4 linked regions of the Saccharomyces cerevisiae S288C genome follow. The protein of the gene in region 1 purifies or fractionates together with the protein of each later gene. This does not show direct contact. Each region holds a gene or a part of one and is shown in the gene's direction. Other genes may lie near its edges. The genes, in order: SSF1, HAS1, ERB1 and NOG1.

Evidence for each region.
Region 2: the proteins of SSF1 (region 1) and HAS1 purify together in Saccharomyces cerevisiae (affinity purification with mass spectrometry; 9 studies listed by BioGRID, with this or other methods). This does not show direct contact.
Region 3: the proteins of SSF1 (region 1) and ERB1 purify together in Saccharomyces cerevisiae (affinity purification with mass spectrometry; 5 studies listed by BioGRID, with this or other methods). This does not show direct contact.
Region 4: the proteins of SSF1 (region 1) and NOG1 purify together in Saccharomyces cerevisiae (affinity purification with western blotting; 13 studies listed by BioGRID, with this or other methods). This does not show direct contact.

The regions. Positions count from the first base shown.
Region 1 is NC_001140.6:227,311-233,356, forward strand, and holds SSF1 (rRNA-binding ribosome biosynthesis protein), read left to right. Parts: upstream 1-2,024; coding exon 2,025-3,386; downstream 3,387-6,046. Other genes in the region: RNA-dependent ATPase RRP3, read right to left, coding at 222-1,727; hydroxyacyl-thioester dehydratase HTD2, read left to right, coding at 3,660-4,502; DYS1 (deoxyhypusine synthase), read left to right, coding at 4,823-5,986. UniProt on the Saccharomyces cerevisiae protein: Required for biogenesis of the 60S ribosomal subunit.
Region 2 is NC_001145.3:848,906-854,889, reverse strand, and holds HAS1 (ATP-dependent RNA helicase HAS1), read left to right. Parts: upstream 1-3,298; coding exon 3,299-4,816; downstream 4,817-5,984. Other genes in the region: GOT1 (Got1p), read right to left, coding at 74-95; protein kinase TDA1, read right to left, coding at 500-2,260; aminodeoxychorismate lyase ABZ2, read right to left, coding at 5,081-5,984. UniProt on the Saccharomyces cerevisiae protein: ATP-dependent RNA helicase involved in 40S ribosomal subunit biogenesis. Required for the processing and cleavage of 35S pre-rRNA at sites A0, A1, and A2, leading to mature 18S rRNA.
Region 3 is NC_001145.3:367,594-374,394, reverse strand, and holds ERB1 (ribosome biogenesis protein ERB1), read left to right. Parts: upstream 1-3,877; coding exon 3,878-6,301; downstream 6,302-6,801. Other genes in the region: CSM3 (Csm3p), read right to left, coding at 6,461-6,801.
Region 4 is NC_001148.4:368,241-374,452, forward strand, and holds NOG1 (putative GTPase NOG1), read left to right. Parts: upstream 1-2,737; coding exon 2,738-4,681; downstream 4,682-6,212. Other genes in the region: EEB1 (medium-chain fatty acid ethyl ester synthase/esterase), read right to left, coding at 1-1,201; Sec63 complex subunit SEC62, read right to left, coding at 1,599-2,423; SSU1 (Ssu1p), read left to right, coding at 5,553-6,212. UniProt on the Saccharomyces cerevisiae protein: Involved in the biogenesis of the 60S ribosomal subunit.

The DNA.
Region 1 (6,046 bases):
AAATATGAATACTTCGTAAATAGTTACTTATTTTGCACATCTTTTACCGCTCCCATTACGCGGAATGAGTTATGAATGGCTCGAGAAACAAATAGGAAACGAATAAGAAATGATAGGCAATTTTATGTGATATTGATAGATGTATATATGAACATATAGATAAATATTTCTAAGTTAAATTGAACTTTTGGGCGTTAAAAGGTAAACCATGCTTACAAAGCCTACCTTTCTCCCATGTCCATATTCTCTCTTGTCATCATTCTTCCTCTTCTTCCCTTACCTCTGGCAATCTTCTCCTTGTTTCTTCTGTTCATTTCCATTACAACTTCCCCATTAGCCTTATCGACGGAATCTCTTAGGGTCAATATAATGTTCTTGTCCACACTTTCCTTCGGTAGTTTTTTACCTAAAACTTCTTCAATTCTTAAGATCAATTCCAGATCGTATTGTGATACTAGTGAGATAGATTTTCCTGATCTACCAGCTCTTGCGGTTCTTCCCACACGATGAATGTAGGACTTGGAATCCACAGGAATATCGTAGTTTACAACTATGTCCACTGATGGAATATCCAACCCTCTCGCAGCGACATCTGTAGCCACGAGAATAGACCTCTTACCTGCCTTGAAAAGATCCAAAGATCCCATTCTCTGGTTTTGATTCAAATCACCATGTAGCGCAGTGGCACTAAACTCGAGCAAATTACATAATCCTGACAACCTTTCCGCGTTGGCCTTGGTTCTTGTAAAAATGATCATCGTCTTTCCAATAAATTCATTTAATAAATAAATTAGGTATGTGTTCTTAAGACCACCTGGAACGACCATCAGTGTTTGCACTAATGTATCTACGGTTTGGTATTTGTTTGACACGGCACATTTCACAGGATTTGTCAAACTTGCTCTTTGTAATTTATCAATTTTGGAAGTCATAGTAGCGGAAAAAAGATAAGTGGTTCTTTCTTGGGTTGGGATGATCTTTAAAATTCTATCAAGAACAGGTCCAAATTCCATGTCTAATAATCTATCAGCTTCATCCATAACCAAGAATTTCAGTTTCCTCAGTGAAAACCCTTTGGTATTCTCTAAATGGTCCATTAATCTACCAGGTGTAGCAATGATAATATGTGGCTTTCTCATCAGGTCTCTGGCCTGGTCCATCATATTCATACCACCCACAATACATGTCGATCTCACGCCCATTAAGGATCCTAATGAGTCAAATGTTTCTTTGATCTGTTGTGCTAATTCTCTTGTTGGAGCTAGAATGCACGCATAGTATGGTTCCTGATCATGCCATAACCGATTCAAAATGGGAATAGCAAATGCAGCAGTTTTACCAGAACCTGTTTGCGCAAGTCCAATTATATCGTGACCTTCTAACGCGGGAGGAATTGCCTTAGATTGAATGGGAGTGGGTTTGGAATAATTTAAGTTCTTACAAGCTTGAATTAATTCGGGGACCAGATTCAGTTCGCTAAAGGATTCAAAAGATTCATCTTCATTAGTATTTTCATTTTGGGTTGATACTGTGGATTTGCTTTTTGATTTCAAAACCTTTTTCTTTTCAGCAGTAGCATCTTCTTCAGAATCGGACTCTGAACCACCTTCCTTTTCTGCTTCTATAAGCTTCTTTTGATTTTCCAAAGCTTTTGCTCTAATCTTTTCTGCTAAAGAAGTTAATTCATCGTTAGCCTTCTTTTCCTTTCTCTTAACAATTTTGGACATTTTTATAGCTGATTCAGTGAAGTACTTAACAGAATCTTGGTATATATTGCTTCTAAGATATGTCACAATTCTGTGTATACCATGTACAATTGCTAAATGCTCATTGATTAATTTTAAATTTTTCATTTTTATCGCCTTAGACGAAATTGAAATTTTTCACTGAAAAAAAAAAAAAAAAAAAAGTAGACGAAGAAGCTCATCTCATCGCGATATTAGTTCGATATCTGGGTTTGAGTGAGTAGTATGTTTAATAATAAAAGAGTATAATCCAGATATAGCAGACAATAAAATTTCAAGATGGCCAAGAGAAGACAAAAGAAAAGAACACATGCACAGCTTACACCTGAGCAGGAACAAGGTATACCTAAGTCAATGGTAATCAGAGTGGGTCAAACTTCTTTGGCCAACCATTCTCTGAACCAATTAGTAAAGGACTTCCGCCAAATCATGCAACCACATACGGCTATAAAATTGAAAGAGCGCAAGTCCAATAAACTGAAGGATTTCGTTGTTATGTGTGGCCCATTAGGTGTTACGCATCTTTTTATGTTCACTCAATCTGAAAAAACAGGAAATGTCTCCCTAAAGATAGCTAGAACTCCGCAAGGTCCTACTGTTACTTTTCAAGTATTGGACTATTCTCTGGGTAGAGATATCAAAAAATTTTTGAAGAGACCTAAATCGTTGAATAATGATGATGTATTAAATCCTCCATTGCTAGTGCTAAACGGGTTTTCCACATCCAAAAGATCTGGTGAAGACGACCAGGATGTAAACGTGGAGAAGGTCATTGTTTCTATGTTTCAGAATATTTTCCCACCTCTGAATCCTGCGAGAACTTCTTTGAATTCTATCAAACGTGTATTTATGATCAATAAAGACAGGGAAACAGGGGAAATTTCTATGCGCCACTATTTTATTGACATTCGAGAAGTAGAGATCTCTAGAAACCTAAAAAGGCTTTATAAAGCCAAAAATAATCTAAGTAAAACAGTGCCGAATTTGCATCGAAAAGAAGATATTTCTTCTTTGATATTAGATCACGACTTAGGCGCCTATACATCAGAATCTGAAATTGAAGATGACGCTATCGTGAGAGTAGTTGATAATCAGGACGTGAAGGCAAAGCATTCTCAAAGTTTGAAGTCCCAAAGAACACCGGTCGAAAAGAAGGATAATAAAGAGCGTGAAAAAGAAACAGAAGAAGAAGATGTGGAAATGGAGGAACCTAAGCCTTCAGAAAACTTGCAACCAACCCCACGTAAGAAAGCTATCAAACTAACTGAATTAGGACCAAGATTAACTTTAAAACTGGTCAAGATAGAAGAAGGTATTTGTTCAGGTAAAGTGTTACATCATGAATTTGTTCAAAAATCAAGCGAAGAAATCAAAGCTTTAGAAAAGAGACACGCTGCAAAAATGAGGCTGAAGGAACAAAGAAAGAAGGAACAAGAAGAAAACATTGCTAAAAAGAAGGCTGTTAAAGACGCTAAAAAGCAACGTAAATTGGAAAGAAGAAAAGCTAGAGCAGCAGAAGGAGGTGAAGGTCAAGGAAAAGATGATGCGATGAGCGATGATGAGTCTTCATCAAGTGACAGCGAACATTATGGTAGCGTACCAGAGGATCTAGATAGTGACTTATTTAGTGAGGTCGAATAAATTGTTCTCCGGTACCAAGAAAATTTTAGTTAAGCCTGGCTATCCACCAACGCACGTATACTTCTTCACTTTAGATAAATTGCATACTTGATACATATAAACTCTTTGTCTTTTAAATCATAGCCCAAAGGAAACGTAGATCTCAGAAGGCATGTGAAAAAAAATTCGATCTTACCTTTTTTACGCCATTTTAAGCTACTGTTTCGATACATGAGCGTGGCTGGTACATTGAAGGTGGGCAATCGTCCACTTATCTAAAGACAGCTTATCAGCATGAAATCCAAAACGTGGATTTTCAGGGATGTCTTATCTAGTCACCGAACCAAAGCGTTTGATAGTTTACTTTGTAGGAGACTCCCTGTATCAAAGGCAACGAAGCATCTTCAACTGGGAGAACATTTCCTGTTCTTCCCACCATCATTCGAAAAATTGGATAGAGATGGTTATTTTAACTATCAAAATCCTGCAAGTTTGCTAGGAAACCCTGATTTACGCTACCGTAGAAGGATTTGGGGACAAGGAGAGCTTGTTCAGTATTTACCAGTCACCTTAGACCAGGAGTATACATGCCACGAATCAATCAAATACGTAAAAAAAATACGAGATGAACATGTTGTCTGTATTGAAAGAACCCTTTTACAAGAAAGGCCCGAAAATGTGTCGAGTCCAATGGACATTTGCTTATTCGAGAGAAGGGTATTAATGTACACCAATTCACCCGCAAACAAGACTGCAGTCAAGATGCCCGTAGGAGAGGAGAACTATAAGATCTTAAAAAATTTTACTGTTACTGATATGGATATTGTAGCTTATGGTCAGATGTCTTTGAATCCGCACCGAATTCATTGGGACAAAGAGTACAGTCGCTATGTTGAAGGCTACGACGATATTATCATGCAAGGACCCTTCTCGGTCCAATTACTACAGAAATGCATCCAACCTTTTCTCGAACAACCAATCAGACAGTTGCGATACCGCAATTTGAATTATATATATCCAAACACTACTTTGAGCATATGTCAGTCTTTAAGCTCTTCGAGCGGAATGTACACATTTCAAATTAGGGACCTCCAGAAAGCCAACTTAGTCTACATGAAAGCTGATGTTTTCTGTTGACTACCAGTAATTGTCTCTCTGCAGATAATCACTACCTGTGTGTTTCTTGTCTCTTGAAATAATACTAGTAGCTGCTGAACAGTGGAAGGTCACGAACGAGATTACCATAATATCTCGCCATCACCAGGTTGACGGTAAACGCATTACGGGAAGAACTGAAAAAAAGGTGGGAAAAAAAAATAAAAAGTAAAGTGAAAAATTAAATGTAATGTATATTTCCATTTTGACGCAAAGTACTTCCCTCTATCAGTTTTGTATCTAACTGCAGAGTAAAGTCGTGTTTTGCTTAGTTAACTTATATACAAGTCAAAGCAAAAAAGATGTCCGATATCAACGAAAAACTCCCAGAGTTACTACAAGACGCTGTCTTGAAAGCATCTGTTCCTATTCCAGATGACTTCGTTAAGGTTCAAGGTATTGATTACTCAAAGCCTGAAGCCACTAATATGAGAGCAACTGATTTAATTGAAGCTATGAAGACCATGGGTTTCCAAGCTAGTTCTGTTGGTACTGCCTGTGAGATTATTGATAGTATGAGATCATGGAGAGGTAAGCATATTGACGAATTGGATGACCATGAAAAGAAAGGTTGCTTCGATGAGGAAGGGTACCAAAAGACTACTATCTTCATGGGTTATACTTCTAACTTGATCAGTTCCGGTGTACGTGAAACTTTACGTTATTTGGTGCAACACAAAATGGTTGATGCTGTCGTTACTTCTGCTGGTGGTGTGGAAGAAGATTTGATCAAATGTCTTGCTCCAACTTACTTGGGTGAATTTGCTTTGAAAGGTAAATCTTTGCGTGACCAAGGTATGAATCGTATTGGTAACTTGCTTGTTCCAAATGATAACTACTGTAAGTTTGAAGAATGGATTGTCCCAATTTTGGATAAGATGTTGGAAGAACAAGATGAATACGTAAAGAAACATGGCGCTGACTGTTTAGAGGCTAACCAAGACGTGGATTCACCAATCTGGACCCCATCTAAGATGATAGATCGTTTTGGTAAGGAAATCAACGACGAATCCTCCGTATTGTACTGGGCCCACAAGAATAAAATTCCAATCTTTTGTCCATCTTTGACTGATGGTTCAATCGGTGACATGTTGTTTTTCCATACTTTTAAAGCATCTCCAAAACAACTAAGAGTTGACATTGTAGGAGATATCCGCAAAATCAATTCAATGTCCATGGCCGCTTACAGAGCCGGTATGATCATCTTGGGTGGTGGTTTGATCAAGCACCACATTGCCAATGCTTGTTTGATGAGAAATGGTGCTGATTATGCCGTTTACATTAACACTGGTCAAGAATACGATGGTTCTGATGCAGGTGCAAGACCTGACGAAGCTGTGTCTTGGGGTAAGATCAAGGCTGAAGCCAAATCCGTCAAACTTTTTGCTGATGTCACCACTGTTCTTCCATTGATTGTTGCTGCTACCTTTGCCAGTGGTAAACCAATCAAAAAAGTTAAGAATTGATGAGAGAATTTTGAGATGAAAAAAAAAAAAATGAATCTGTACTATTTCTTTTTTTAGTGC
Region 2 (5,984 bases), on another chromosome or scaffold:
AGTAAGTTGTTAGTAAAAAAGGAACTAACGTCTCTCGGAGAAGCAAAGAGCATCTAAAATATTAAAAACATACTTTGAGCCTCTGTGAGCCACATTTTACGCGATGATGGGTAAGCTAAATGATCACTGGGCTGAACTGTAAATCAATCACACGGAGAAGGCAAACGCCAACGCCTTTTAACTCATCTTAAGTGTTTGGGATGGACAACTTTCCAATGTCCGAAAAGAACACGACGGGTAATACTATGCACGAAAAATAAACCATACCATGGAAACCGTAAATGCCGGATGAGTACTAAGAAGCGCAACACATTATTATTTGATTCTTAAAGTTACTATTTTTCTTTGTGATCCCCCATAATTAATATATATATGTTACAGTTATATTTATTTCTTGAAAAAAAAAAAAAAGAATAATTAATCGTAAATTTCATTAGTTAGAATGTCGTCCCAGGTAAAAAAAAAAAGAAAGAAAAAAAAGGTGAATTATCATTCAACACTATATCTGCATGGTTTCATCACCATCAGAATCATCAACATTCACCTGGAATGAAGCTGCGTGTTTTCTTGCAGGATTCTTATCGTTAGTAGTATCATAATCGTTAATGGCTGTGGTATCATTGCTGCTCATCGAGGCCGTACGTGGGGTTAAAAGTAAGTCAACTTCATTGACATATTTCTTCACGCTAGTAGAGGAACCTTGCCTCGATAAGGTTTTGGGGGTATTGAAATTTGAGCGCGATTCTGGAGTGGTGCTGAAACAACCGTTCATCAAGCTATTCTTTGGTGGCTTAGGGTCCAAGACAAAAGTAGAATTCTTTTTCACGAGGCCTGACTTGGATGATGATAAAGAAGTACCGTTTTTGTTAGCGTGAAGATAGTCGAATGTGCCTGCAGGCTTAAGAGATGTCATGGATAATGTTTTCTTCAGAGTGTCTCGAATTCTATTCAATGATCTTTCACGAGAATTAATGGTTCTATCAACGTAAAGGTCAGGCAAATCCATCTTGCTGCTGAAGGCGGTGGAAGTTTCAGAGGACCCGCCATCCATATTTAAATACGCTAGAGTAGTTGTCTTTCTTGATTTGGAAGGAGACCTCAATGTGTGCATGGACGCTGTAGAAGATACCCTTCTTATTGTTGGATGAAAGGAGAAATTCGGCGTGTCCTTAGTATTCAAAGAATTTGAAGTAGCAAAATAATCCTTAATAAAGGGATGCTGTTTCAAATTCTTAGCAGAACGCCTAACGGCCGGGTCAATAGTAAAACAGCATTGAACAAAATTCCAAAATTGTTCGTATTTAGGGTCGTGCATCATTTGTTCGTCGACGTAATAGTCACATTTTGAAATACATTCCAGAGTTTCGTCGTCTGTGGTACAGTCAAAGGGCGTATAGCCGAAGGCCATGAAATATGTCAGTACACCAAGGGCCCATATATCCACCGGACAACCATACTTGTCTAGTTTGCCAACTTGATCAGGAGTCATTTCACCGACACCTTTGCACTTGACGATTTCTGGAGCAATATACGAGATGGTTCCAACAAACTCCTTTAACGAGTTTACCTTACTTGTGTTATATTCAGCAGCAAGACCAAAATCGGCGAGAACTAGGTCGTGTGCCAAGAGATCGTATTTGAAATCTCCGTGGTGTTCACCCTGTAGGTTTTTTTCGTTTTCGTTCACTCTCAATCTGAATAAGACGTTTTCTGCTTTCAAGTCTCTATGAACAATACCTTGAGAATGCAAAAACTCGAGAACGCTCACCAAACAGGCGCAGTACGAGGTAACTTGAGTTTCGAGGTCTAAACACTGATTTTCAACAATTTTTTCATACAAATCTCCCTTCTGACACAGCTGAGTGATCAGGACAATGTTATCTGCCGTCTCAAAATAGTCGAAAAGTTGTAAAATATGGTGATGCCCCTCAAAAATGTCCAAAGAATGTTCATTCTTTTTTTCCATATCTCTGATTTTCTCGCTTATTGACCTCAAAAGGTCGAACTCTCTTTGAATAAGTTGAATTTTGTTCTTGACAGTTTGTTTCTTAATAAGCTTCATCGCGTACAAATCCTTTGTGTGTATATTCATACATTCTTTCACGACGCTAAAATTCCCATCGCCCAAGGAGTTGTGGTTGGTTACGTATTTACATTTGAAGGTTTGAGCGTCTGCATTGCTGCCACTCAGTTGCGGCCAAGGTTTTTCTTCCGGCAGGCGCTGTTGTAGCTGGGAAGCAGAAGAACTAGCTGTAGTCATATCCTGGATGTGTATTTTTCTTTTTGAACTGTTGTAATGTCAATTGTATGAAAATATCGCGGTTTGGCTGAGACAGTCGTGGTAGGTAACTGAAGGAGCAAACAAGAAATTAATAAATAAACAAGTTAGCAAAACAAATAAAAAAACTGTCACTCTAAATAGAAAGAAGTAAAGAAGCAGAAGAAGTCATCCCCGTTCGACACGTTTTCATATTCTGAGTACATGATAAACCCCGCCCTCTTTTTCTTTTTTTAGGAATCCCCCTTTCTATTGTCAGAACAAGAAAGCGGTGTTGGAATTCAAGCAGCTTTTTTTTTTTCTTTTCGTCATACAGTTTCTTTTTCAGGAGTCTTGGTAGCACCCCACCCGTGGAATCGGCGGAATAACCTAACACGTGGAGGTTTTTCCGAGGTGCCAAAAAAGGAAAAACAAAGAGAAGCTGAAATCGGAATTTGAAGAATAGCGTGGGGGGGAGGGGGTTATTCAAGGAGCGCCTGTACCGGCAACGATAGCTTCGGCGGCTAAGATGGCAAACCTAATAGATGTATGTAAAAACATGGATGATAGCAGGCGGTGAACAGCCATGGTAATTTTAGGGAGTGCAAAAGTTATATGTAAGGCTATATCTGTATCAGTTAACAGGGGTGGAAAATGATTTGATAGGCGCAATATGTTTATTGGTAAAAGAGCATCTTAAACCACTTCATTCCATTTCTCACTATCACAAGTGATATATTATGTGTATTTTGCAATCCATGACGCTTTAATGCTTTACAAAGCGCTGCTACTTCTATTTTCTTAACGTAAAGAGGAGTGTATGACGACTAAGAATTGTTTACCCGGCGAGAGTCGATTCTTCGTTACCCGAATTGAAAATTTTTTATTTGCTTTTTCTTTTTTTTTTTTTTTTTTTTTTCAATATTAGCTTTAGCGATGAGATGAGATTTTATAGTGTATACACGGTACTTGAGTACATAGCTATTGGATAACTGTATACTATAATAATTAGATAAGCTGAGCAATATTAACAGGAGAAGTATGGCTACCCCGTCAAATAAACGTTCTAGAGATTCTGAATCTACAGAAGAACCTGTAGTAGATGAAAAGAGCACTTCAAAACAAAACAATGCCGCACCTGAGGGAGAACAAACTACTTGTGTGGAAAAGTTCGAAGAACTAAAGTTATCACAGCCAACTTTAAAGGCCATTGAAAAGATGGGATTTACCACTATGACTTCTGTTCAGGCAAGGACTATCCCACCTCTTTTGGCCGGTAGGGATGTTCTTGGTGCTGCCAAGACAGGTTCTGGTAAAACTCTAGCGTTTCTCATCCCTGCTATTGAACTATTGCATTCTTTGAAATTCAAACCAAGAAATGGTACCGGTATAATTGTCATTACGCCTACAAGAGAGTTGGCTTTACAGATTTTTGGAGTGGCAAGAGAGTTAATGGAATTCCATTCACAGACATTTGGTATTGTCATTGGTGGTGCAAATAGAAGACAGGAAGCCGAAAAATTGATGAAAGGTGTTAACATGTTGATTGCTACCCCTGGAAGATTATTGGATCACTTACAAAATACAAAAGGATTTGTATTCAAGAACTTGAAGGCTTTGATTATCGATGAAGCGGACAGAATCTTAGAAATTGGGTTTGAAGATGAAATGAGGCAGATAATTAAGATCTTGCCAAACGAAGATAGGCAATCCATGTTATTTTCAGCTACACAAACGACCAAAGTTGAGGATTTGGCTAGAATCTCGCTGAGACCGGGCCCTCTTTTCATTAATGTCGTTCCTGAAACCGACAACTCCACCGCAGATGGATTAGAACAAGGCTATGTGGTATGTGACAGTGATAAGAGATTTTTGTTGTTATTTTCTTTCTTGAAAAGAAATCAAAAAAAGAAAATTATTGTATTTTTATCATCTTGTAACTCTGTGAAATATTACGCTGAATTATTGAACTATATTGATTTGCCAGTCCTCGAATTACACGGTAAGCAAAAACAACAAAAGAGAACAAATACATTTTTCGAATTCTGTAATGCGGAAAGAGGTATCTTGATTTGTACAGATGTCGCAGCTAGAGGGCTAGATATCCCTGCTGTGGACTGGATCATTCAATTCGACCCTCCTGATGATCCAAGAGATTATATTCATAGAGTCGGAAGAACCGCAAGAGGCACTAAAGGTAAGGGTAAATCTTTAATGTTTTTAACACCTAATGAATTAGGGTTTTTAAGATATCTAAAGGCTTCCAAGGTCCCATTAAATGAGTACGAATTCCCGGAAAACAAAATTGCAAACGTTCAATCACAATTAGAAAAATTAATTAAATCCAACTATTATCTACATCAAACAGCCAAGGATGGTTATAGATCTTATTTACAAGCGTACGCTTCCCACTCTTTGAAAACTGTCTATCAAATCGATAAGCTGGATTTAGCCAAAGTAGCAAAGTCTTACGGTTTTCCAGTCCCTCCAAAGGTTAACATTACAATTGGTGCCAGTGGAAAAACGCCAAATACCAAAAGACGTAAAACTCATAAGTAATTTCAGAGGATCAATTTTTAATGCTATTAATGTGTACGTGGAACCAACACAACCGAAGTATTCATCTTCTGTTCTCATCGCACTCCTTTTCCTTTCTCTGCTTCTCCACTGTATGTCATTTAAATAAATGTATAAACCGCTGTTTTCTGTTTGTTGTCTTCTACGTACGTTGTCTGTATCAACCTGCACATATTTGAGTATGTAAAATCATGATTTGTAAACTATTGTAAAAAAACTTCATTGATATGAAAATCTGTCGTCTGCTCAATATTTTGTCTTCACTGTTCCCTTTATGCATCCCATGACGCCATTGAAAAGCAAAACTTCGTTGCCAACGGTAAGGCTTCCTATATCTATATCTCCCTCTTCAATAAGGCCGAGCCGCAATAAATAATGACGCATTGTTCCGCACAAACATCCAGTTGCTAATCTTGGTGTCACATACTTTTTAGAACCGTTAGGATCTTTTTGAATTACAGCCACGTTTGTTATTGAACCTTCCATCAGCAGGCCAGATTTGTTGGAAAATAAAATTTCGCATTGCGAGACAGAAGAAGTAGGTTCTGAACCTCTTAAGTTATTTATAGCAGTTTGCATGCGAACTCTCGCCCTAGCGTAATGATCTCTTGAAGTGGTTTTAAAACTGGTGAAAGCTGATGCGTTCAATGGTTCAGATGAAACAACAACATCCCAATTTATTGTGCTATCAATTAAAAATCCATTGAGCATCGTTTTGATGAAGTATGTGGAAACACTGTCATAATCGGTTGTTAATTTTAGGATAGGCTCCATAGGCATTGGAATTGCCTCAATTCGTATATCTCCTGTCTTAGAGACAAGTACCCGCATTTTATAGCATTGCCTTTCGTTGATCATTTTTTGAATTTTTTCGTGATACTCTGAATTTCCTTCTTTACAATTAATCAAGTTTTCAACCAATAACTTCAATAAATCATTCAGAGACGTGCTGAAGTCAATTTTAAAGTATGATAATGCTATTCTTATTCTTTGGTATTGTTCATCTAATAAAAAAAATCGTTCATAAATGACTTGTAGCATATCTTCTACACGCTGGCACACAATGGTCTTGCAATCATGCTTCCAAGCATCAGGATGCTGAATATTTTCGAGAAGGTCACCGCCGGAATTAACCTCCCTTACTCGTAAA
Region 3 (6,801 bases), on another chromosome or scaffold:
CCTGACACTTACGACCCAGGCATGCAATCCAATACCGTACATCACTATGCATTAATGACATCCCTGTCACTTGCATTAGACAATAACTACTATATTACACAATTAGACATATCTTCGGCATATTTGTATGCAGACATCAAAGAAGAACTATACATAAGACCTCCACCACATTTAGGAATGAATGATAAGTTAATACGTTTGAAGAAATCACTTTATGGATTGAAACAAAGTGGAGCGAACTGGTACGAAACTATCAAATCATACCTGATAAAACAGTGTGGTATGGAAGAAGTTCGTGGATGGTCATGCGTATTTAAGAATAGTCAAGTAACAATTTGCTTATTCGTTGATGATATGATATTGTTCAGCAAAGACTTAAATGCAAATAAGAAAATCATAACAACACTCAAGAAACAATACGATACAAAGATAATAAATCTGGGTGAAAGTGATAACGAAATTCAGTACGACATACTTGGCTTAGAAATCAAATATCAAAGAGGTAAATACATGAAATTAGGTATGGAAAACTCATTAACTGAAAAAATACCCAAACTAAACGTACCTTTGAACCCAAAAGGAAGGAAACTTAGCGCTCCAGGTCAACCAGGTCTATATATAGACCAGCAAGAACTAGAGCTAGAAGAAGATGATTACAAAATGAAGGTACATGAAATGCAAAAGCTGATAGGTCTAGCATCATATGTTGGATATAAATTTAGATTTGACCTATTATACTACATCAACACACTTGCACAACATATACTATTTCCGTCCAAGCAAGTGTTAGATATGACATATGAATTGATACAGTTCATATGGAATACGAGAGATAAGCAATTAATATGGCACAAAAGCAAACCTGTTAAGCCAACAAATAAATTAGTTGTTATAAGCGATGCATCGTATGGTAACCAACCGTATTATAAATCACAAATTGGCAACATATATTTACTTAATGGAAAAGTAATTGGAGGAAAGTCCACCAAGGCTTCATTAACATGTACTTCAACTACGGAAGCAGAAATACACGCGATAAGTGAATCTGTCCCATTATTAAATAACCTCAGTCACCTTGTGCAAGAACTTAACAAGAAACCAATTACTAAAGGATTACTAACCGACAGTAAATCTACAATCAGTATAATTATATCCAATAATGAAGAGAAATTTAGAAACAGATTTTTTGGTACTAAAGCAATGAGACTAAGAGATGAAGTATCAGGAAATCATCTGCACGTATGCTATATCGAAACCAAAAAGAATATTGCAGACGTAATGACCAAACCTCTTCCGATAAAAACATTCAAACTATTAACAAACAAATGGATTCATTAGATCTATTACATTATGGGTGGTATGTTGGAATAAAAATCCACTATCGTCTATCAACTAATAGTTATATTATCAATATATTATCATATACGGTGTTAAGATGATGACATAAGTTATGAGAAGCTGTCATCGATGTTAGAGGAAGCTGAAACGCAAGGATTGATAATGTAATAGGATCAATGAATATAAACATATAAAACGGAATGAGGAATAATCGTAATATTAGTATGTAGAAATATAGATTCCATTTTGAGGATTCCTATATCCTCGAGGAGAACTTCTAGTATATTCTGTATACCTAATATTATAGCCTTTATCAACAATGGAATCCCAACAATTATCTAATTACCCACATATATCTCACCTTCTTACACTGTATATGATAATATATTAATATTAAACCAGTCAATAAATGTAATTGATTATTTCAACACGAAAACCTAACTATCAACGATATCACATAGAACAGCGAAGAGTTAGAAGATTTATTAGAAGATTTATTAGTATAGGTTATTTTAGATGCAATTTTTCAATAAAACCTGGTTTCGTGGTCTAGTCGGTTATGGCATCTGCTTAACACGCAGAACGTCCCCAGTTCGATCCTGGGCGAAATCATTTTTTTAGCACTTTAGCAGCATATTGCGGTATCGAATCATCTTCATGAATGGCGCAGATTTATTTGAACTGTTCAATCATAAATTAACCTTATGTGAATAGTCTGGGTAGGTTGAAACTTCGGAAATCACTTGCTTTTCTGAGGGCTGCGCGTAATCTAGATAGATCTACCTAAATGACACCGATGGCAACTTCAAGCTATACTAACTCCTAGACATTACTTTCTTCAGTATTCCCTTAGTGCCTGTTTTGAGCTATGAGATTGGTATTATTATTTGAAATATCTTCTATTGCGGTATCTGATTTTATATTTCTAGCTTTGTCATAAAATATAAAATACACAAATATATATATAGAGATAAGATAGATTATTTTTGATGACTTGCAAGTTGCACTAGGATTTGTTTTTCTTCTAAAAACCCCTTAAAGGTATTTCCAGAGAAAATATTATGCTGGTTATTCGATACTATTATCCAGTATACACTGACCTATGTTATAAGCAAAGGTTCTTCGTTCTGCCTCTTTAACAGGTGGAGTGCGTGCCATTATCATCAATGAAAGTTTAACATGTAATTGTCATCAGCTGTATACTGTTCGAATCTGTTCATTACGAAGGTTTAACTTCAAAAATCGAAAAGAAAAAAAATAGAAGATAAGAATATTGCATAGATCCTTCTTTTTTAGTGAAGTCACCGAATAATACATATAATGAAGTTAAAATTACAAACCGTGCAAAAACACCGCTGATTTAGAGTGGGCGATTTCATAGATCAAAAAGCAGGCTAAATATGAATTGAAAATTAAGTAGTCTACTATTTTCTGACAGCAGTGGCGCGCGACGGTTTCCAGGAAGTTTATTATTCAACGTGTCCAATTTTCACACGCTGCTTGACATCGTTATTCCCTGAACGCATTTTTACACTGTATGCGCAATTTGAGCCACTTTGATGGACTATTATGTATGAATAGCTTAGCTTAAAGAAGTAACAGTAGAGTGTTGAACCTTTAAGTGCTTGATGTACTCGAGCCTTTTTCTATGATACCTCACTCCAGAAAAAAGCGTTTAACATATCTGGCATTGAGGGTGGTCTCAAACAATAAAAGTATCCTATTTAATATTTTAACATTGCTGATAACCTAAAAAATCTGAACGTTGCCAGCATAAAACCTCAGCTTTATATCGTACTGAATAACATACTTACTGCAGGGCGAAATTTTTCTCAAATTGTGCCTAAATCGTTAAGTTACTAAACTTTTACGCGCAGTACTGGCATTGAGCGATCAATATTGTTTAATGCGTAGTGACGATCTTCTCCACTTATATTTTTTTATTCGTAGTTCTCTATTTTCGTTTCGATTTGTTTTCTCTGTCTACCAGATTAAAAGTGATTTGAAGTTTTTTATCATGAACTAAACAATAAAATTACAAAAAAAAAAAGTCAGCGTCACCAAGGATTGCTACCAATATACGACTTTACTGCTGTATTATCGAATTTTACCTTCTAGGATATTATGTAAAGTCTCTAGCAAAGGGAGAAAACTAATGTTACTAGGACTGAAGAACATTTTCCTCTTATAGTGTAAAATTGATTTTGACAAGAATATAATTAATACATTTTTTTTCTTTTGATAGCAGTATTGAGTACAATGAATTGAGCATTCAAGGTTCAACATGTGATAGTAGCTCTACCGCTAGTATGTTATTGCTAATTAAGTAGGATTGAATTGTCGCGATTTTGTCATTTTGGGTTTTAATAACTCTTGTACGGGTTACCCCATTTGTTTTTGAAGATTAGTGAAAAATTATTGAAAATTTTTTTTTTTTTGGTTTTGCGATGAGCTTATAATTTACATATGTGATATATTCGCATATAGATCCTAGCGAAGAAAGGTACTGTATTAAATCTGTTCTAACATAACTAGGTCAATGATGGCTAAGAACAACAAAACTACCGAGGCAAAGATGTCGAAAAAGAGAGCAGCTAGCGAAGAATCTGATGTCGAGGAAGATGAGGACAAGCTTTTATCCGTTGACGGTTTGATCGATGCGGAAGCAAGTGAGAGTGACGAGGATGATGACGAATACGAGTCTGCCGTTGAAGAAAAGGAATCATCTTCTGATAAAGAAGCCCAAGATGATTCTGATGATGACTCCGATGCTGAATTAAACAAACTGCTTGCCGAAGAAGAAGGTGATGGGGAAGAGGACTATGACAGTTCTGAGTTTTCAGACGACACAACTTCCTTAACAGACAGATTATCGGGTGTGAAATTGCAAACGATCGTTGATCCGAATATTTACTCAAAATATGCAGATGGCAGTGATAGAATTATCAAACCTGAAATTAATCCAGTTTATGATAGCGATGATAGTGATGCCGAAACGCAAAATACCATTGGTAATATTCCACTTTCTGCATACGATGAAATGCCACACATTGGATACGATATCAACGGTAAAAGGATTATGAGACCTGCCAAGGGTTCTGCTTTAGATCAACTGTTGGATTCTATCGAGCTACCTGAAGGCTGGACTGGTTTACTGGACAAGAATTCCGGTTCAAGTTTGAACTTAACCAAAGAGGAATTAGAACTTATTTCCAAAATCCAAAGGAACGAACAAACTGATGATAGCATAAATCCATACGAACCGTTAATCGATTGGTTCACGAGACACGAAGAAGTGATGCCATTAACTGCTGTTCCGGAGCCAAAAAGAAGATTTGTTCCATCCAAAAACGAAGCCAAGAGAGTTATGAAAATTGTAAGAGCTATCAGAGAGGGCCGTATTATTCCTCCTAAAAAATTAAAGGAAATGAAAGAAAAGGAAAAAATTGAAAACTATCAATACGATTTATGGGGTGATTCTACGGAAACAAATGATCATGTAATGCATCTAAGGGCACCAAAATTACCTCCACCAACTAATGAAGAGAGTTATAATCCACCAGAAGAGTATCTTTTGTCTCCTGAAGAAAAGGAGGCCTGGGAAAATACTGAATATAGTGAAAGAGAAAGAAACTTCATACCTCAAAAGTATTCTGCCTTAAGAAAGGTCCCTGGTTACGGTGAATCTATTAGGGAAAGATTTGAAAGATCTTTGGATTTATATTTAGCTCCTCGTGTCCGTAAAAACAAATTGAATATTGATCCTAATTCTCTAATTCCAGAACTTCCCTCTCCCAAGGATTTAAGACCCTTCCCTATTCGTTGCTCAACAATATACGCTGGTCACAAAGGAAAAGTACGCACATTATCCATTGATCCTTCTGGATTATGGCTAGCAACAGGATCTGATGACGGAACAGTCAGGGTATGGGAAATTTTAACTGGTAGAGAAGTTTATAGAACTACTTTAATCGATGACGAGGAAAACCCAGATTACCACATTGAATGCATTGAATGGAATCCTGATGCTAATAATGGTATTCTCGCCGTTGCTGTTGGTGAAAACATTCATTTAATAGTACCACCAATATTCGGCTACGATATTGAAAATAACGGCAAAACTAAGATTGAAGATGGTTTTGGCTACGATACTTTTGGGACTGTTAAAAAATCTAACCTAGAAGTGAACGAGAATGGTGATGGCGATGAAGATGGAGAGAATGAATCTGCTAAGAATGCTGTAAAAAAACAAGTAGCCCAATGGAACAAGCCTTCTCAAAAGCAACTAGAAAAGGATATTTGTATCACTATTTCTTGCAAAAAAACAGTAAAAAAGCTTTCATGGCATAGAAAAGGTGATTACTTTGTCACTGTTCAACCTGACTCTGGTAACACTTCTGTTTTGATTCACCAAGTTTCCAAGCATTTAACCCAATCCCCATTCAAAAAATCGAAGGGCATTATTATGGATGCGAAGTTCCATCCTTTTAAACCTCAATTATTTGTCTGTTCCCAAAGATATGTCAGAATTTATGATTTATCTCAACAAATATTGGTCAAGAAACTGTTGCCTGGTGCCCGTTGGTTATCGAAAATCGATATTCACCCAAGGGGTGATAATTTAATTGCGTCATCGTTTGACAAGAGAGTTTTATGGCACGACCTGGATTTGGCTAGCACACCTTACAAGACACTAAGATATCATGAAAAAGCCGTCAGAAGTGTGAATTTCCACAAAAAGTTACCTCTATTCAGCTCTGCCGCTGATGACGGTACCATACATGTTTTCCATGCCACTGTTTATGATGACATGATGAAAAATCCGATGATTGTGCCACTAAAGAAACTAACCGGTCATAAAGTAATCAATAGTCTGGGTGTTCTTGATGCTATTTGGCATCCGAGGGAAGCTTGGCTGTTTTCTGCCGGTGCTGATAATACGGCTCGCTTATGGACCACCTAGATAAATAATTTGAAGTAGATATTGTATAATAACGCCCAAGAAGAAAAAATCAAACACTCGAACCAGGCTCTTTCTACAAGCTTTATTTACACAATATATATAAACCTATATGTATAGATGCCCACACGCACGTTTGGATTATTACCTTCAATGACATTGCTAAAAGCCCATTTCCTTCATAGCATCCAACTCATCTTGATCTACGCCAAACTCATCTCCCCCTGGCAATAAATCATAATGAGTATGTTGTCCCTCTATATCATTCATTTCCCACTCTTCCAAACTTTGAATCAGTTGAACGTCTTCTTCAGTCATAGAGCCTTTTTCCATTTTTCTATGCGCATCTAGCCATCCTAATAAGAGCTTCTTCTCATTTTCTTCAAGGCCAACGGGCCCTTGTACCCTGAATGTCTTCAATAATGCATCCAAATCTTCCTTAGGCGGCACAACGTTGTTAAGTACCGTTTCATTATTCCCACGTTCGTCCAAAACTCGTCCTC
Region 4 (6,212 bases), on another chromosome or scaffold:
CTGGATCATCCGTTGCGTTGATTATTAAAGTTGGGATTTTGATATTAGGCAATCTATTTATCGAACTGGCCTTTCTATAATATGTTAACCCGTCCGGCAGGCCCATCGATGGGGCAGTGAAAAGATTATCGAATTCTAATATGTCTGTAAATTTTTCAGCCTTTTCCAAATTTTCTCTGGTATACGTATAAAAGACTGGTTTCTCAACTGTCGGTTTGTGCGAAACCTCAAAATTCTCTGGTACCTGCAACTCATTCATATTAACCTTGACAGTCCTTGTTAGAAATTGTGTTAAAGTTCTAGAAAAAATATGGTTGGACCACCAATCATGAGCCAACTTGTCCCAAGTGTGTACGAAATCCCATGGGTTTGAGAGAGCGACTGCAGCATTTAATGGACAGTTATCTCCTTCTTCACCTAAGTAGTTCGTTAGCATGGCTGCTCCAAATGATGTTCCGACTGCATATATTTTTCTTTGCGGAAATAGAGCTTTTTGGTGGTTCAAAAATTCTCTCACATCACCTGTGTGTAATGCGGTAAAGATTCTACGGGTGGTGACTTTAGATCTTGAGCAACCTCTAGCATTAAGGACTACCACTTGGAATTTACCGTCACCGACTTTTGATAGATCTTCAGATAATGCCCTGATGAGAGGCTCATGGCTTCCCCCTGCAAGACCATGAAGTACTACCACTAAAGGGTAAGAATAACCCTTAGAATGACATTTTTCAAGTTCCTCAGAGGATAGATATCTAGTTCTCGGGTGAAGACGAGGCCAACCCTTTGGATGGGTGGCCTTTTCATCGTTCGAAAATTGTTTCTCGTTAAAACTAGCCTTTTCAGCATTTAATGAATATGTTTGCTCCCATTCAGGCATAACCCAATCTGCAGTGCAGACCCCTCCATCAGAAAATTTTATAATCTCTCTTCCATAAAATACCTGAAATTTTTTGGAAAAATCACCGGCTGACAAATAAAGGGTCTGTAAGTAACCTGTGAAAAGCAAGCTGTTTAACCTAAAATTTGCACCATCTTTGAGTGTAGGCACGTGTTTGGTTACGAATTCATGAAGAGGAATTTGGCGCTTAGAATCTCTGAAAGCCAAAGACTTGGTTCCTTTCTCTCCCAGTACATGTTTGACGGTGCCGTTATAGCCCCAATGGCTAGGAGTGACAGTTGGATAGTAACCCGAGCGAAACATTAAAATGACAAATATGAAAATACTTGATATCTTGATCTTTTTGCTAATCTTCAAAAATACCGAAAACTAAGTAGGCAACCAGATGCAGAACCCTTCTTATATAATCGATTCCTGTAAGCAAGTGTCAGCAAATAGCTTCTATATAGAGACCTTTCGGTGAAAGTATATTAAAGCCGGCCGGAAATTGAGTAATAATAACCGCTAATTATGCGGTGTGTGGATTCAGATTTTTGCCAGGAGCGATAACCTTCAAATCTAAAACTACTCACTATAAGCGATGAAGCAACCAGATGGTAGCGCTTTGGTGCCGGTTCTCTTGAAGGTTTGTACATGTGCGAGTTCATGAGGTTACAATATAGAAGGTTTATACAGTAGAGCTATACAGGATAATGGAAGTTCAGTTTTGTTCGGCTTTTTCATTGATGGCTTTCTTCTTATTGCTTTCTCTCTTGGCTTGTTTCTTCTTCATTCTTTTCAGTTTCTTTTTGTAACTATAAGTATCCTTCTCACCAAAACCGTAAAGTGGCTTAAAACTCTCTAGTACACCGCAATCTTCGAACAGGTTGGGAAAGATCCAGAACCCACCAACATCTTTGTAGACAATTAATGACAAAACATATAATATCAATCTCAGGATAGCGACAGCAAAGAAGCCTGCTAAGATGCCGAAGGCACCCAGAGACACATAATAGGAGCCGCGTCTCATGGAGCGCGGCCACAATGGGTAGCATACGAGCGCCAATATGATGGACACGACACCAATGACGATCAAGTAATCCATGTAGGTTCTAGGGTTATAGTTCCAAACAAAGTATTCATCGGCTTCCAATTGTGCTTTATTCGAAACAATCAAGTGCGGAAAGTCCTTGCTTGGCTTCAATCCATGCTCTTTGCATTCTTGACTATGCAATTTTTTCACTGGGATCACCATTTGTGCCTTTATAAGTTGAATAAAGATTTCACGTGACTTAAGCTGGTCTTCGATCTTGTTAGAAGGTATAGTTGGATATATCTCTGGCTGTCTTGCAGATTTGTTGGCATACTCCTCAGAATGCAGTGCCCTAACAAATCTCTTGTAACGGAAGAAGTCTGTCTGCTTGGCCTGGAATAAACCCTGCCTTTGCTTCAACTCCTTATGGTTGCGTAAAAGAGTAGCAATGGCTGTAGCAGATCCGCCATTGACACTAGCACCTGCATTGCTACCTGGACCTACGGCTGACATGTTCTCCTGTGTTTGCTCGGCTACCATACTGCATTCAACTGCAATTATAAAAGCCCACTCTTCTCCCTCTTGATTTGTATGCCAGTATTGGGAAAACGACACGTCTATTCCGTCGCACACGATCTTCACTTTCTTTTTTTTTTTCAACTGAACGAAAAGTTTTTTCCGCAGCTCATCGCAAAGAAAAATTTTCACCTATGTACTACCTCATCTAATACAATATAAAGAATACACTTCAGATTTAGGAGTTGCAGCGTTTATAAAAAAGTAAGTGTACCCTCCAAAAGCAAACACATCTCCCTCCTATACCGAAGATGCAACTTTCATGGAAGGATATCCCTACTGTCGCTCCAGCAAATGATTTGCTGGATATTGTCTTGAACAGAACCCAGAGAAAGACACCAACTGTGATCAGACCTGGTTTCAAGATTACAAGAATCAGAGCGTTCTATATGCGTAAAGTTAAATACACAGGTGAAGGTTTCGTGGAAAAATTTGAGGACATTTTAAAGGGTTTTCCTAACATCAATGACGTGCATCCTTTCCATAGAGATTTGATGGACACCCTATACGAAAAGAATCATTACAAGATATCTTTGGCAGCTATATCTCGTGCGAAGTCCCTTGTGGAACAAGTCGCCAGAGATTATGTCAGATTGCTAAAATTCGGTCAATCTTTATTTCAATGTAAACAATTGAAAAGGGCCGCTTTAGGTAGAATGGCAACTATAGTCAAGAAATTGAGGGACCCATTGGCCTATTTGGAACAAGTCAGACAGCACATTGGTAGATTACCATCGATCGACCCAAATACCAGAACCTTGCTGATCTGTGGTTATCCAAATGTCGGTAAGTCCTCGTTTTTGAGATGCATTACCAAATCAGACGTCGATGTTCAACCATATGCTTTCACAACCAAGAGTTTATACGTTGGTCATTTTGACTACAAATACTTGAGATTTCAAGCTATTGACACCCCTGGTATCCTAGATAGACCCACTGAAGAAATGAACAACATTGAAATGCAATCGATTTATGCCATTGCCCATTTACGTTCTTGTGTTTTGTACTTCATGGATCTTTCCGAACAATGTGGTTTCACCATCGAAGCTCAAGTTAAACTATTCCACTCCATCAAGCCTCTATTCGCCAACAAGTCTGTCATGGTTGTTATCAACAAAACCGACATTATCAGACCGGAGGATTTAGACGAAGAGCGTGCACAATTACTGGAATCTGTTAAGGAGGTTCCAGGTGTTGAAATCATGACTTCTTCATGCCAACTGGAAGAAAACGTTATGGAAGTTAGAAACAAAGCATGTGAAAAACTATTGGCTTCTAGAATTGAGAATAAGTTGAAATCTCAGTCTAGAATCAACAATGTTCTGAACAAGATTCATGTTGCTCAACCTCAAGCAAGAGATGATGTCAAGAGAACACCATTTATCCCAGAATCTGTCAAGAATTTGAAGAAATACGACCCTGAAGATCCAAACAGGAGAAAGTTGGCCAGAGACATCGAAGCTGAAAATGGTGGTGCTGGTGTCTTCAATGTTAACTTGAAGGACAAGTACCTATTAGAAGATGATGAGTGGAAGAATGACATCATGCCAGAAATCTTGGATGGTAAGAATGTTTATGATTTCTTGGACCCTGAAATCGCTGCTAAACTGCAGGCTCTTGAAGAAGAAGAAGAAAAATTGGAGAACGAAGGGTTCTACAATTCTGACGATGAGGAAGAAATCTACGACGGTTTCGAAGCATCCGAAGTAGATGATATCAAGGAGAAAGCTGCATGGATTAGAAATAGACAAAAGACGATGATTGCTGAAGCAAGAAATAGGAAGTCCTTGAAGAACAAAGCTATCATGCCACGTTCTAAACTAACTAAGTCCTTTGGTAAAATGGAAGAACACATGTCCACTTTGGGCCATGACATGTCAGCCTTACAAGATAAACAGAACCGTGCTGCTCGTAAGAACCGTTATGTTGAAAGAGGTTCTGATGTTGTTTTTGGCGACCAAGATGCTTTGACAGCTTCCACTGAAAACGGTGTCAAGTTGAGACAAACCGATAGACTGTTGGATGGTGTTGCTGATGGCTCCATGAGATCCAAGGCCGACAGGATGGCCAAGATGGAAAGAAGAGAAAGAAATAGACATGCCAAGCAAGGTGAATCTGATAGACACAATGCTGTTTCCTTATCAAAGCATTTATTCAGTGGTAAGCGTGGTGTCGGTAAGACAGATTTCCGTTGATTTCTCTACTTCTTATTCTTTCTTTTGCATGTACTTTAAAAAAAATATGAATATAAAATGTGGATGTACGTACACGACATTCTAATCTTTTTGGGCTGGTAGGATTACCATTTACATTTGATTATCTCTCTCACTATTAGTGGTTTCTTTTTCTTTCTTTCTCACTTTTTCTGTATCTTTTTTTTAAAAAAATTTTATTTAATCTGTATAATAATAATAAACCGATTTAAATTATCCAACAAGCCGACCCCTCCATGTTCTACTATTTTTTTGTATGTCACTGGATGTATACAAATAATTAAGCATGTGGAAAAAGAAGGGGTGGGATAGCGTCAAGATGACACTTCTACTTTTTTGTGACACATCATCATGCAACCTATCGAGTCTCCCACGAGGTTGACAAATAAGAAATTGTTATCGTTTTTGCAGTGTATCGTATAAGGCAACAATAGCGATGTCTCCCATCAATTGACTGATAAATTCCTGCAAACTATCATTTTTTTTTTTTCATCCTTGTGCCGCGTCTGTAGCCGAAAATCTGAGAGTGCATGAATCTTAAAAAACAGAAGACTCATCGCCGTCTTTGGCACATTGGGGTTGTCTTTGACTTCTTTTGCTTATTTTTGCTCACTTTGCTTATTTTACCTATTTAACTAGAGGTTCTAAAAGAATAGCCAACCAGCGTGTAGTTCTTATTTCTAATCCTTGTCTTGTTAAGTTGAAACTTGTGATATTGGCTGAACAAATTCTCCGCATTTAGACAACACACAAATTACAGCTTTCCCCTAGTAACGATTGTTGATTGAGCTCAGACAATACGCGCAATTTAAAAACGTTTTATAGTGTAAGAGAAGACAAGTACAAGAAAAAAATGGTTGCCAATTGGGTACTTGCTCTTACGAGGCAGTTTGACCCCTTCATGTTTATGATGGTCATGGGTGTCGGCATTTCATCGAATATTCTATATAGCTTCCCATATCCTGCAAGGTGGCTAAGAATATGCTCCTACATCATGTTTGCTATCGCTTGCCTTATTTTCATTGCTGTGCAGGCACTACAAATATTACATTTGATTGTCTATATTAAGGAGAAAAGCTTCAGAGAATATTTTAATGACTTTTTCAGAAATATGAAGCACAATTTATTTTGGGGTACTTATCCCATGGGGTTAGTTACAATTATAAATTTCTTAGGAGCACTCTCGAAAGCGAACACGACGAAGAGCCCCACTAATGCCAGAAATTTGATGATATTTGTTTACGTCTTGTGGTGGTATGATCTCGCAGTCTGTCTAGTAATAGCGTGGGGTATCTCGTTTCTCATCTGGCATGACTATTACCCTTTGGAAGGGATTGGGAATTATCCTTCATATAATATCAAAATGGCATCCGAAAACATGAAAAGTGTATTGCTACTGGATATCATTCCGCTGGTTGTCGTCGCTTCAAGTTGTGGAACATTCACAATGTCAGAAATATTCTTCCATGCGTTTAATAGAAACATTCAACTGATAACGTTGGTCATATGTGCC